Drosophila melanogaster: one gene and its partners. The gene in region 2 interacts genetically with the main gene of each other region. Each region holds a gene or a part of one and is shown on either strand. Other genes may lie near its edges. The genes, in order: Uev1A, nopo and lok.

Region 1 (3,830 bases), on a different chromosome or scaffold from region 2:
AAATAAAATTTTTTGCGAAGCACCGAAAACAGCAACTGTTTGTAAAATATCATAAATTATTTATTAAATTAATTAAAACCAACGGGAAAATGGCAGCAAAAGTAGCGAGCGGCACGAACAAAGTGTTCCAGAACGTGAGTATGGGTGAATCATCAAAGGACAGCTGACTAAGATGAAAAGTAACCTCACTTTGTCATGGTTTTTTCTGTGCATCTGCTCAATTGAAATTTATGATATATATTTTAAATCGCATTTTCAGCACGATGACGTGCACATCTCCTTCGAGGATCAGCAGCGGATCAACCGCTTTGCGAAGCACAACGCCCGCATGGATGACTTCAAAGCGGAGCTGGAAACGAAGCGCAATGAGCTGAAGAGCTTGGAGGAGGCGCTGGAGGAGATTGAGCTGTTCGACGAGGACGAGGACATACCGTTCCTGGTTGGCGAGGTGTTCCTCTCGCACAAGCTGGAGAAAACACAGGACATGCTGAAGGAGACCAAGGAGCAGGTGCTCAAGGAGATCGCCGGCGTGGAGGCCAAGGCGAAGGTTATCAAGGCGGAAATGGACGAGCTGAAGGCTCATCTGTACCAGCGGTTCGGCAGCAATATCTCACTGGAGGCCGAGGATTAATCCACAATTGATCAATTGTTAATTTAACATTTTACAAAATAGAGTACATTTAATTTAAACTCAACTAAACGCGATGTCTTCAGATTAGAGCACTAGGAAATAGATGATCAGGGCGATGATAAGCAAGGTGACCACCACTCCTCCGATGAATATCCGACGATCCTCGACCAGCCGGCGTTCAATAAGTTTCATCGTGTGATTGGACAGACCCAGTGTGCTGCCTATCGCCTGGATTCTCTTGTGCGCTCCGCCCAGCGTCATTCTCTGCGAGATCAGGCTCTCGAGAATGCCGCTGCCCGAGGCAATCATGTCGTCCACACCCCGATGGGCGTTACCCAGCTGCGTATGATGCTGCAGTTCGTAGTCCAATTGCAGGCGCGTTTCCTCCGGCTGCGCGCTGTTTGCCGTGAATCTGTGATTCAGCAGCTGTTCCCTCTCGGAGATCTCCTGCATCCGTCGCTGTCTTCGTTCCCGCGCCGTCTGCAGTGATGTCTGCAGGTGTCTCAGGTCATATTTCAGCTGATCCACACGAAGTTTGGAGCTTTGTCGCTGCGAAGGTGGCACCTTATACAACAGCACATCCAACCGATCGCAGTTTCTAAACACAAAAGATTTATTTAATAATACAAACTCCTCTTGGGATAATATATATCATTGTAGAACTCACGCGTTCGCCTGGGTAATCTTCAATTGAATGCCGTTTTCCACGTCAAGCGATTCCTGGGCACTGAGCTGACTCAGTCGCTGGAAATCGCGCTCGATGTCCTTTACCACATTGTTGGTTTGGTGGTACAAGCTCTCCATGTCGTTACACCTATTGATTCCGCATTAATTTATGGGCCCGAGAATATTCGCAAATTAATATTTAATCGGTTGCAATTGGTTTGTTTTTAAAAAAGCTGACGCGTTAACATTGGACAGAGTGTCATGTTAGTTAACAGCACTGATAGCAGAGCAGCTGGCTGCCGTTTTTGGTATGACCATATATTATGACAAACTTATCAGCTAATGCAACTATTAAATTTCCTTTTTATTTTCAGAGAATATGCTATATATTGTTAAATAATGATTTTTAATTAGTGACCAAATATTGCACTTGACGGCGCTGTTAAGTGTTACCACTGTTAACGGTGTAAAAATCAGAGTTGTTAAGCAAGCCAAGCAAAACCTAAACCGCACTGGTCACATCGCACTGGAAACGCGTTAGCACACTTTTACGGTATTTTAGCACTTAGCATTAACCACAATGGCGAATACATCAAGTACCGGCGTTGGTAAGAAATAAAATTGATAAATTAGCAATTTGGCAGCTTAAAAATGCGATCCCCGCACGCCCGGAGTTGTTGGCCATCCGTTTTCTGCATTTCCCGCTGACCGGCGGCGATTTTTCCGCCGCTACGGACCCGACAAGCGGACCGCAATGTGATTGTGTGTGTGGTGCAAAACGGGCAAAAAGAAGACGAAAGCAAGGGCGAAAGACGAAAGCCGATAAAAGCGAAATGGGCGAATGGAAATTTATTTTCGCCAGCGGACCACGCTGCTCTTGCAATTTTCCTTGGCCGCGTTTGGCGTTGGAAAAACTCCGTTGCAATTGGGCTTCGTGACTTGACATTTTCCGAAATATCATCCCCGCTCCTTCCTCACTATGTGGCTCTCGCTCGCTCGCTCGCGCACGCTCTTCTTCTTGCCTTCATACTTAAAGTTTTTTCTTTATTTTCCTTATTTTTTGCACACTTGCGTTTTTGCAAGCTGCCTTGTCTTTTCTAATTAAATTAGCTGCCATTTACATTTGCCTGGATTGTTTTTGCAAATGCAGAAATTATGCTTTCGCCCCGCCCCCGCCGACACACCCTCCCCCCGCGCCCATCGTGCTTAATATCTGCGCTTCGCATTTTTTTTTTTTGACTTGTGTTCTCTGCACGAAAATGCGTACAAAGTCACACGGCCGAAAACAAAAACAACACGAGAAGCAGAGCGCAAAACAACAACAACACGTACCCATATGACCCCACACTGAGAGGAAAAGTCGCCGAAATATCACCGAAAATGGTTTATACCATAGAAAATGTGTAGAACAGTCCTTACTAGTTTGTTTCTAAATAGATAAAACTGTCGTTTATAATTATATATATGTATCTTATCTGTACGAGCCCGTGATTATAATTATTTAGAAAGCTAAGTACTTTCTTGCCCCGCCAACCAGAAAATTAAAAACAAGCTGACATTTAACTTAATGACTATATTTAAAGATTTAAGTTTTTCAGTGAAAATGCATTATGTCATCGAGTTCTCACCTCTTTGCCGTTTCACATTGCAGTGGTGCCACGGAATTTCCGCTTACTGGAGGAGCTGGATCAGGGCCAGAAGGGCGTGGGCGATGGCACCATATCGTGGGGCCTGGAGAACGACGACGACATGACGCTCACCTACTGGATCGGCATGATCATCGGTCCGCCTAGAGTAAGTTTCCATATCGATTGGACTTTCCTCGCTACGTCACCAGATAAGCCCGGTTTATTAGGCAATTCTGTAGGATTATTGACATCTTATCGCTTAGATTGCGCAGACCATTCAGTTTGGATAGCACCTTGTATCTTTGAAGGCAGTTTATCTCTTCAGTGCGATGGAATTTGATAATATTTGCATTTCATTAGCACCGCTGATGCAACTCATTGTGAGTGTGGGTTTCAAAAGTCATTGGCTTCATTAGCTTCTTATGTGGTAAATATGAATATAAAATGTACCTCTGCTAGATTTTAATCTTATATGAAAACTACAAGCTGCAATCTGGGATTATTGCTAGAAAATATAGGTATAGAAACGCTCGTGCTAATTTATTCTTATTTTATTCACAAGAAAATATTCCACTTTACATGCATTTATTGGGGAAAACAAGGCTCTAGCCTTGAATTACTAGCAAGGAAAGCGGCGGAAAACTAAATTTGCATTTAATTTTTGTATAGTCTAGAAGTGTTGCGCGCGCCGCCGCATGAATCATTGAGGAGTTTGGGTGGCAGGGTCTTCTAACAGAGCCCCAACTTGGTTTAGTTGCATTGGCAACTAAAGTGGAGAAGCGGTGGACTAAGGGGAATGGGAGCGCCTGACTCATCGACACTCTGGCCGCAAGTGCACAGAGTATTGAATCATTCAAGAATCATTTAAAGCTAATGGCAAACTCTTGTGTTTATTACAGACACCA
Region 2 (3,830 bases):
GTTTATTTACTTTTCATTTATTAGTATGTTATAATAATCAAGTCTACTACTACTTCATAATGTTAAAGTTTGCACTACAACTGTGTTTAACACCCCCACTGATATAACGCATAGCAGCATTGTTTGATAAGCCCAAGCTGCGAACTATTTGTTCAGCAATTAACTCGAGCATGAGCCTGAGAGAATCGGAGGGAAAAATGTTCACTTTGAAATGATTCGATGGCGCCGATGTCTCTCTGCCCGTCTTTATTTGTATGAAAAGTTGTAAATTTTCAAGACACGCTGACGTTCGAGCAACCTGGTCGCAAACAACGAACTCGTGCACGAACACATATACACAAATACAGTGCTTTTCAGATTTATAAATCGATTTTTAGACATTTAATAAAATTGAAATGTATATGTAGAAGGTCGCAAAAACTTTTTCGAACCTAAAAATAATGAAGTAAGAAGAAAAGTTTACAAAGTTGCACTTTAAGAACCCAAGGGTTCTTGAACGCGTAAAAACAAATTAACGTTTGAACTTGATTAGTAATTCGGTTTCTGCATTTCAAGCATTTCATTATTGGAATAACTTATAGAATGCTGTAACCTATGGGCGAACGCCACAAGCTCCCAAATTTAACGAATTACTCATGCTACTTGTAATGGAATGTCATAAATATTACAATAAGGATCGGTCTTCGCCAGGCAGATATGTACTGCATGCATTAAGTCTTGTTATCACATGGCTGGCTTTGATGGGCTTGGGAGCTCGCCTTGCCCATATGCTATCGCACCGCACTGTACCTACGCCGGGTATTTACATACATCCATATGTATATGCGAAAAGAGGTGGCAAATAAACACACTACTTATGATATGATTAATCATCAATGAGCGAACCAACCAAACGGTAGAGATCGGCACACATACCAAAGCATAGACTCGTCGCGCACTATGTTGCAGAAGTCCGTTTCGATGGTCTTGATCTTGGAGTTCAGCACAATGCCATCGTCCTGCAGATCAAGGTTCCTCATCAGGGCGATGATGTGGTCGTAGGCATAGCCACCTGTTTGATTTTGATAGGCGGCGGGGCCAGTGTTCAGGATGGTACAAACATCCCGGAGGCGCGCTCCCGTTCCCTCACCACCGCCCCCGCTACCGACACCACTGTGCGAACTGTGACCACTGTCCACCGCACTGTTGTTGTAGCTGTTGTTGCCGTAGGAGGTGGTGTTGCTGCTGCCACCGCCGCCACTGTTGCTGCTGCTGACCATGTTGTTGGCCATTTCCATTTCTCGCCGCGATCACTGCCGTTTGTTGTTGTTATCGCACGGTTGTTTGTCTGTCCCTTCCACACACACTTCAGTGTCTGTTATATTGGTACGCGCGTGTGTGTGAGTCGTCGGTCCACCAAATAAGAATCAGCGTTGACAAAGGTGTCGAAATGCGCACGCCAAATGAAACACCTTTTCGCTCAGCTTCCGCTTTGGGTGCAGGTGCAGTTAGCTCACTGGGACCCACGGTCGATTGAAACGCAAATAACGAACGAAATTAAATGCACAAATTTATAACTATTCCTATTTATTATTGCTATTTGACGACTTTTAAAAGAGGTGGAAAAACATCGATGTGTTGTGTTCTTTAAAACATCGATGTTTCTCCACCTCTAGATAGCATTGTCGCGATATCGAAAGCACACGGTGTGCTTTCGTAAATAGCGCCACAGTGCTCCCGCTGTTATCGATAAGACCACCATGGGGCTAAAGTACGGAGCATAAGTAGCTGGATTTAAGATGGATTGGCAGAATAAAATATGAAATTTATATCCACAGTATATCTTAAGAAGTAGGGTTTAAAAAGTATCCACACATACATATCTTTCTAAAATTTAGGATGAATTTTAGTTTCAGTGGCTGAGTAAGCGTATTTGTAAACATTATTTGTTGTTTCGACTTAAGCCAAGTTAGTTAGCAATTAGTTTGTCGTGGAAATATCTATCAGCTAACAGTTATTGTCTACAATCGATTCTTGACAAATACTGGTGTGGTGAATTCCGCTCATTGGAGCATCGTAAAATCGCCATCAGTCAGCTGTGTTTCGTTGGGCGCGCAAACTGTTCGGCGTGCGTTTATTTGTTGTTCTTTTGTAATAACTATTTTTATGTAGTTATTTGTGCCAAAAATGTTGAACTTAAACTGCGTGATATGCGCCGAATTGTTTGGCCAGGCCGACGAGGTTTTTGCCACAGTTTGTGGTCATATGTTCCACCACAACTGTCTAAATCAATGGCTCGATCGGTAAACAACGCATAAGGATATTTCTGATTCCCGACAATAAAATCAAATATCTTTCGCAGATCAAAGACCTGTCCTCAGTGCCGGAATAAGTGCACTACCCGCAACATATTTAGGGTCTATTTCAATCTGGCCAACTTGGATGTGAGCCACATCGATGTTGGTTCACTGCAGGAGCAGCTGGACAATGCGATGTTGTCCATGAAAATGGTCGAAAAAGAGCGCAACAAGGATGAACAGCAGATTCGGGATCTGAAGGAAACACAAAAGAAGTGCCTGTATGCTTTTGTATACACATTGCCTTAAGTACCAGACTGATGCATTTCTCATTTGCAGCAAAACCATAGCCGGTTTGGAGCAGAAGGTGCAAAAGAAGGATTTTCTCATCAGCAGCTATGTCGAGCAAATTGGCGTCCTCAAGAGTGATGCCCATGTCGTTGATGGGTTGCGCAAGGAAAACAAAACATTGAAATCACAGATCCAGAGTATGGAAGGCATATCGGCTATTCTGGCGGCTGGCTCGGCGGATGCCGACCGCTTGCTCAAGAACGAGGCTGATCCACATGTCCTAGCCAACTGGGTGTCCACTCTCAAGAGGGAGTTGCGACAATGCGAGAGCAAAAAGACGGAGCTCAGGAATGTAGTGAAGGTGGTGCAGAATGATCTGCGAAAGGAGATCGAACTAAAGCGGTATGCTCACAACATTCCAAACGTGGTTTTTATAATTGATATGTGCTCATTCGATTGCAGCAAGCTGGAAGAGCGTGTTTCACACCTGGAGAGCGACCTTTACCAGGCGCAGGAGAAGGTTTGCTGAGCCTTCTTTAACACAATTTCGATTAAACATACTATTATCTTTTCAGCTACAAGCTTTTGAGAACAAGACCGCTTACTTGGACTCACCAAATGCCTCTTGTGGTCTGAACAGCAACATTTTGGCCCTTAAAAGGGAGGAAAGGCGTACCACTATTTCCCCTACAGTTGTGAGTAGACACGAATAAACGAAAATATAAGCTACTAATATTTTGCTGCCCTACAGAAGGAGAATATTAAGCGCATCGAAGAATCCACCTCCCCATATCTCAACATTAAATCCAGCAGCGTCGGGTTGGCGCATCTTCTTAATACTAAGGGTAACATTGGGCTGGCCAAGTCTAAAATATCGCCCATCAAGGGAGTCGGTGGCGGTGTGTCTATGACCAGCGGAACCATACGGAAAACCAGCAGTGATCTCAGTGAAAAGGTAAACGCAATAATTTTGCCGAATTCCACTTAACCATTTAAAAATTCCGTATATTCCCCCAGTATTCAATCTTCAAGAAGCCAAGACTGCTGCTGGGAAGTTCAAGTAGTTCTGCGTTGACGGCCACGACGGGCTCAAATTTTGTCTACAATGGAATGGGCGGTTCTGAGAAGGTTGACCCCTTTGCGCAGCGCGCCGAGGAAGAGGGTCTTTCCACAATCAGATCCTCGACCGCCCTTTCCCGGAATGTCAACCAGCGTCTTAAAGCCGGCTCGCTGCGCAACTTTAACCTGGGCAAATAAGTCCAC
Region 3 (3,600 bases), on a different chromosome or scaffold from region 2:
CAAACTTACTCAGCCCGAAATCGGAGACCTTCAGTAGGGTCTCCTCGTCATTGGTCTCCAGCAAAACATTGTCAGGCTTAAGGTCACGATGGGTGATGCCTGAAAGGTAGAAACTAGTTAGTTGAATAATTCGATTGATGTGTTCGCAGTAGTCGTACTAGCAAATTCGTAAAGGCGCAGGAATGATTTGCAATTAAGGGCGTTTTCAATGACCATTCCGAAGACTTACTTATTTGCATAACAGAAATGAACGGCTTGCTTAATCAGCAACACATTCGAACCCAAATAAAACTAATTTGTTTTACCCCGATCGTGTAGGTACTTGACGGCATGGCACATTTGGTAAAAGTAAAGCTTCGAGATGTCCTCGCTAAGTAGTTTGTTGCTGATGATCCGGTTAAGCAGGTCGCCGCCGCGCATAAACTCCAGCACCATATACACAGAATCCGGCTTGTCCACGATGTCGTGCATGCGAACCACGCACGGATGTGAAAGATTCTTCATAATCTTGGCTTCGTTCAGCACCCGGTCGGGATCACTGAAATTGGTACTGGGTCGCGCCCCAGAGAGCATATTCTTCTTAACGATTTTCATCGCAAACTGCTGGCAGGTGCGGGTGTCATAGACCAAACGCACCAGTCCGTACGCTCCAGATCCCAGCTTGCGATTTACATAATACGTCTTGTTAATCTCCTCGGGAAGCCCGATCGACTCATTCGGGCTGAGATCCTTGAATACAAAGGCTACAAGGGAGGGCAGGTGCAAAACATCAAATTACTTGCGAGTCCTTGTCGATAGCTATACCTGCTTGTCGATCGCTTACCTTTGTACGTTGGGTGGGACAGGGAAATTACGTCGTCATTCTTTAGGATTCGCATCCTGTTTGTGCCAATTTTCTCGTTATTCACAAACGTCCCGTTGCGTGAGAGATCCTGCGAAATGGGCGGAAACAAGGTTACTACATTTTAATAATATACGGAATTATACGGAATAGTAACTTCTTTTTGTAAATTAATTGTGGGAAATATTCAATATTGAAGTTACCTTTTTTGATAATCTCAACAAAACATAAATAAAACTTAATTTGAATTCTGCTCTTGTGGGTTCTGAATTTGCTATCTTTTTTTTCAAGGCTTCCTTCAGAGCTTTTGGGTTTGGAACTTCCACCTACCTGAATATAAACTGGATTGGTAAGTTCGCAGTTTGCCCGCTTTATGATAAAATGCACTTTGGAAATGCGCGTCAGGATTTTCTCGGGCAAATCGTTGAGCGTGAGGATCAAGTCGTTGGCCTCCCCTCGTCCTGCGGTGAACTCGTCGTTGTTGAGATCTGCAAACAGTTCAGCATGGGATCGTCATTAATACATGAGGAGCACACGCAATGGGGACACAAAACAGGAGGAAATGTGGTTACCAACAGAAAAGGACGAATGCGTATAAATGATTCGGTATTTTGAACTCGTACCCAGCGATTTGATCTTAATGTTCTTGCCGTACAATCGACCCCAGACTATCTTCTCCATCGGCTGGCTCTCCACCTGCGTCCAGATATTGGAGGCCTGACTCTGGGTTCCCTGCGTTCCTTGTGTGTCGCGTGCCATAGTGATTCCAAAACTCCGAAACTCCGTAGCCCCGTAATCTCGTATTCCTGCTATTCCGCAAGTCGAACTGGAAAACCCGTTAGGTTTGCCTGGAACTGCGTAAATTCGAAATGTCCAGTTACTCCAGCACTACCACAGGCAGAAATGCACACATACACGAGGAGTCCGATCTTCGGAAAAGCTATAGATCTATAGAAGCTATGGGTTTGAATCTCTGAGCGTTTCTTCTGCCCAATTCGATTACATCGAGCTTTTCGCACAGCGCTGGCTGATAGTTATTTAGAGTTTATCAGACGAAAACAACGAAAACTAACAAAAATCACGACATTGGTTCGATGTGAACTGCGCGAGGGACTACAATTTCTGCGGCAGTGTGTGTAAAAGTTGCCGCCTTCCAGGGATGGGGTGATTATCAGCGCCAGTGTTGGCAAGAGTCCCAAGGAAAAATTAAGGGTTTTTACAAATTAAATATTGCTTAGGTTAAGACTTTATTGTCAAAAGAAAAAATACTAATTAACTACCGGACTGAAAATTATATAAAAAACTAAAAGTATTGAAACAGATTAATTCCTTTACAGATCGTAGTTTCTTTAATATGGTACATGTATTTGAAATTTAACGGCCATCCATTGTTGAAATCCATTCAGCACTGGCAGGACCTGTGCAGCCCTGAACTTAAAGAAATTCCATTGTAAGCTATCGTGTTTTTATTCGATTTCGAAGCTTTAAGGTGTAAATTAAGTTTGTTTATTTCATTTTTCTCATATGATAAAATTATGTATCATGTTTATACTAGTTAATTATATTCCGCAATACTTTATAGCTAATTCTTTAGCGATTTTCCTGTCCATATTATCTAGCTAGCTTGGCACACCTTTAGTTTTAACCAACACTGAAATGCAGCCCTAAATTGCGGCGTCGTTTGAAAGAAACTGTAAACTATTACCAATACCAGCGCAAAAACAGAAATAGACAAAATACAATCAACAAATCATCAAAAAACAAAAAATTCAAAACTGTCGAATTGGGATCACAGCTATTATTAAAAGTGAGTGTGCTTATTAACACTCTCCAAAACCATCAGCCTACGGCAACCAAAATTCCTTGTGCTGTTCTCTGACTTCATCTCTGATTTATCCACTTCCTTGAAAGGATGACTCTGCCCCGCTTAGAAACTCCGCTCAGGCGGTCCGCAGTAGGCAGTTACCAGGAGGGGGTGTCCCGCATGCTAACCCCCTTTAACGACGACGAGGCGGAAAGGCGGGAAGCCCGACGTCGCACGCTCCTTCAGCAGCATCACCGGTCGAGCACTCTGGAGTCCATCGAGGACAATGAGACCATCAAAAATTGCTTGGAGCTCTACAATGGCAACAAGGTGAGCAAGGACAACGCCTGGAACCTGATGCTCATCGATTCGTTGGCCAATTTGCTGGATCACCATCACAAGCGCATGAGCAACTTCAAGGTGGGTTTTGCCTCATTCAGTTTATGTAAATGTAATAATTTCATGATGTTATACCCTAGATGGCTGGTTCCTCTTTAGAAGCCTCTTCCAAGGTTTACGGCCTGCGTGTGGACTCCATCTACTTGGACGCCATGCGCATTTCAGCTGGCTTGAGTGCACGAACTCTTACGGATAAGCAAATAAATGCTGCCGAGGATGATGATGGCCCCCAAGGTGAACAGGCTACTGGCGAGGGTCAGGACTCAGCGCAACAGGCAGCAAAAGAAGCAGCACCGAAGCCCAAACGGCAAAAGAAACCCATATCCACCGTGACCAAAAACAGAGAAACGCTGAACAGCCGGCTGGATACGGCTCCCTTGCAGGATCCTGTGTTTGGCAAGCTGAACTCCACTGTGGGCTCTATAAATGCTTCCAATCGTCTGATGCACAACATTCTTCCTAGTTTCGACTCTGAATTGCGCTTGCGTACCACCTACAATTTTTGGAACAGCGAAGAGTCCACCGAGGAGGTCCAGGACCACACTACACTCAATGC

The links.
Region 1: of nopo (region 2) and Uev1A, changing one suppresses a phenotype caused by changing the other (phenotypic suppression), as found in Drosophila melanogaster (one study listed by BioGRID).
Region 3: of nopo (region 2) and lok, changing one suppresses a phenotype caused by changing the other (phenotypic suppression), as found in Drosophila melanogaster (one study listed by BioGRID).

The regions. Positions count from the first base shown.
Region 1 is NT_037436.4:5,364,204-5,368,033, reverse strand, and holds the start of Uev1A (Ubiquitin-conjugating enzyme variant 1A), read left to right. Parts: upstream 1-1,808; 5' UTR 1,809-1,877; coding exon 1,878-1,905; intron 1,906-2,472; exon of another isoform or gene 2,473-2,680; intron 2,681-2,948; coding exon 2,949-3,091; intron 3,092-3,824; coding exon 3,825-3,830. Other genes in the region: Pfdn4 (prefoldin 4), read left to right, coding at 90-134, 260-631; membrin, read right to left, coding at 716-1,229, 1,299-1,435.
Region 2 is NT_033778.4:18,178,556-18,182,385, forward strand, and holds the start of nopo (no poles), read left to right. Parts: upstream 1-2,061; 5' UTR 2,062-2,166; coding exon 2,167-2,282; intron 2,283-2,341; coding exon 2,342-2,557; intron 2,558-2,615; coding exon 2,616-2,969; intron 2,970-3,029; coding exon 3,030-3,087; intron 3,088-3,142; coding exon 3,143-3,262; intron 3,263-3,318; coding exon 3,319-3,522; intron 3,523-3,584; coding exon 3,585-3,824; 3' UTR 3,825-3,830. Other genes in the region: CG5726 (uncharacterized protein), read right to left, coding at 916-1,277.
Region 3 is NT_033779.5:20,059,877-20,063,476, reverse strand, and holds the start of lok (loki), read right to left. Parts: upstream 2,056-3,600; 5' UTR 1,757-2,055; exon of another isoform or gene 1,696-1,756; 5' UTR 1,601-1,695; coding exon 1,414-1,600; intron 1,330-1,413; coding exon 1,172-1,329; intron 933-1,171; coding exon 824-932; intron 744-823; coding exon 306-743; coding exon of another isoform or gene 292-305; exon of another isoform or gene 159-291; intron 100-158; coding exon 1-99. Other genes in the region: barr (barren), read left to right, coding at 2,754-3,065, 3,125-3,600. UniProt on the Drosophila melanogaster protein: May have a role in germline establishment.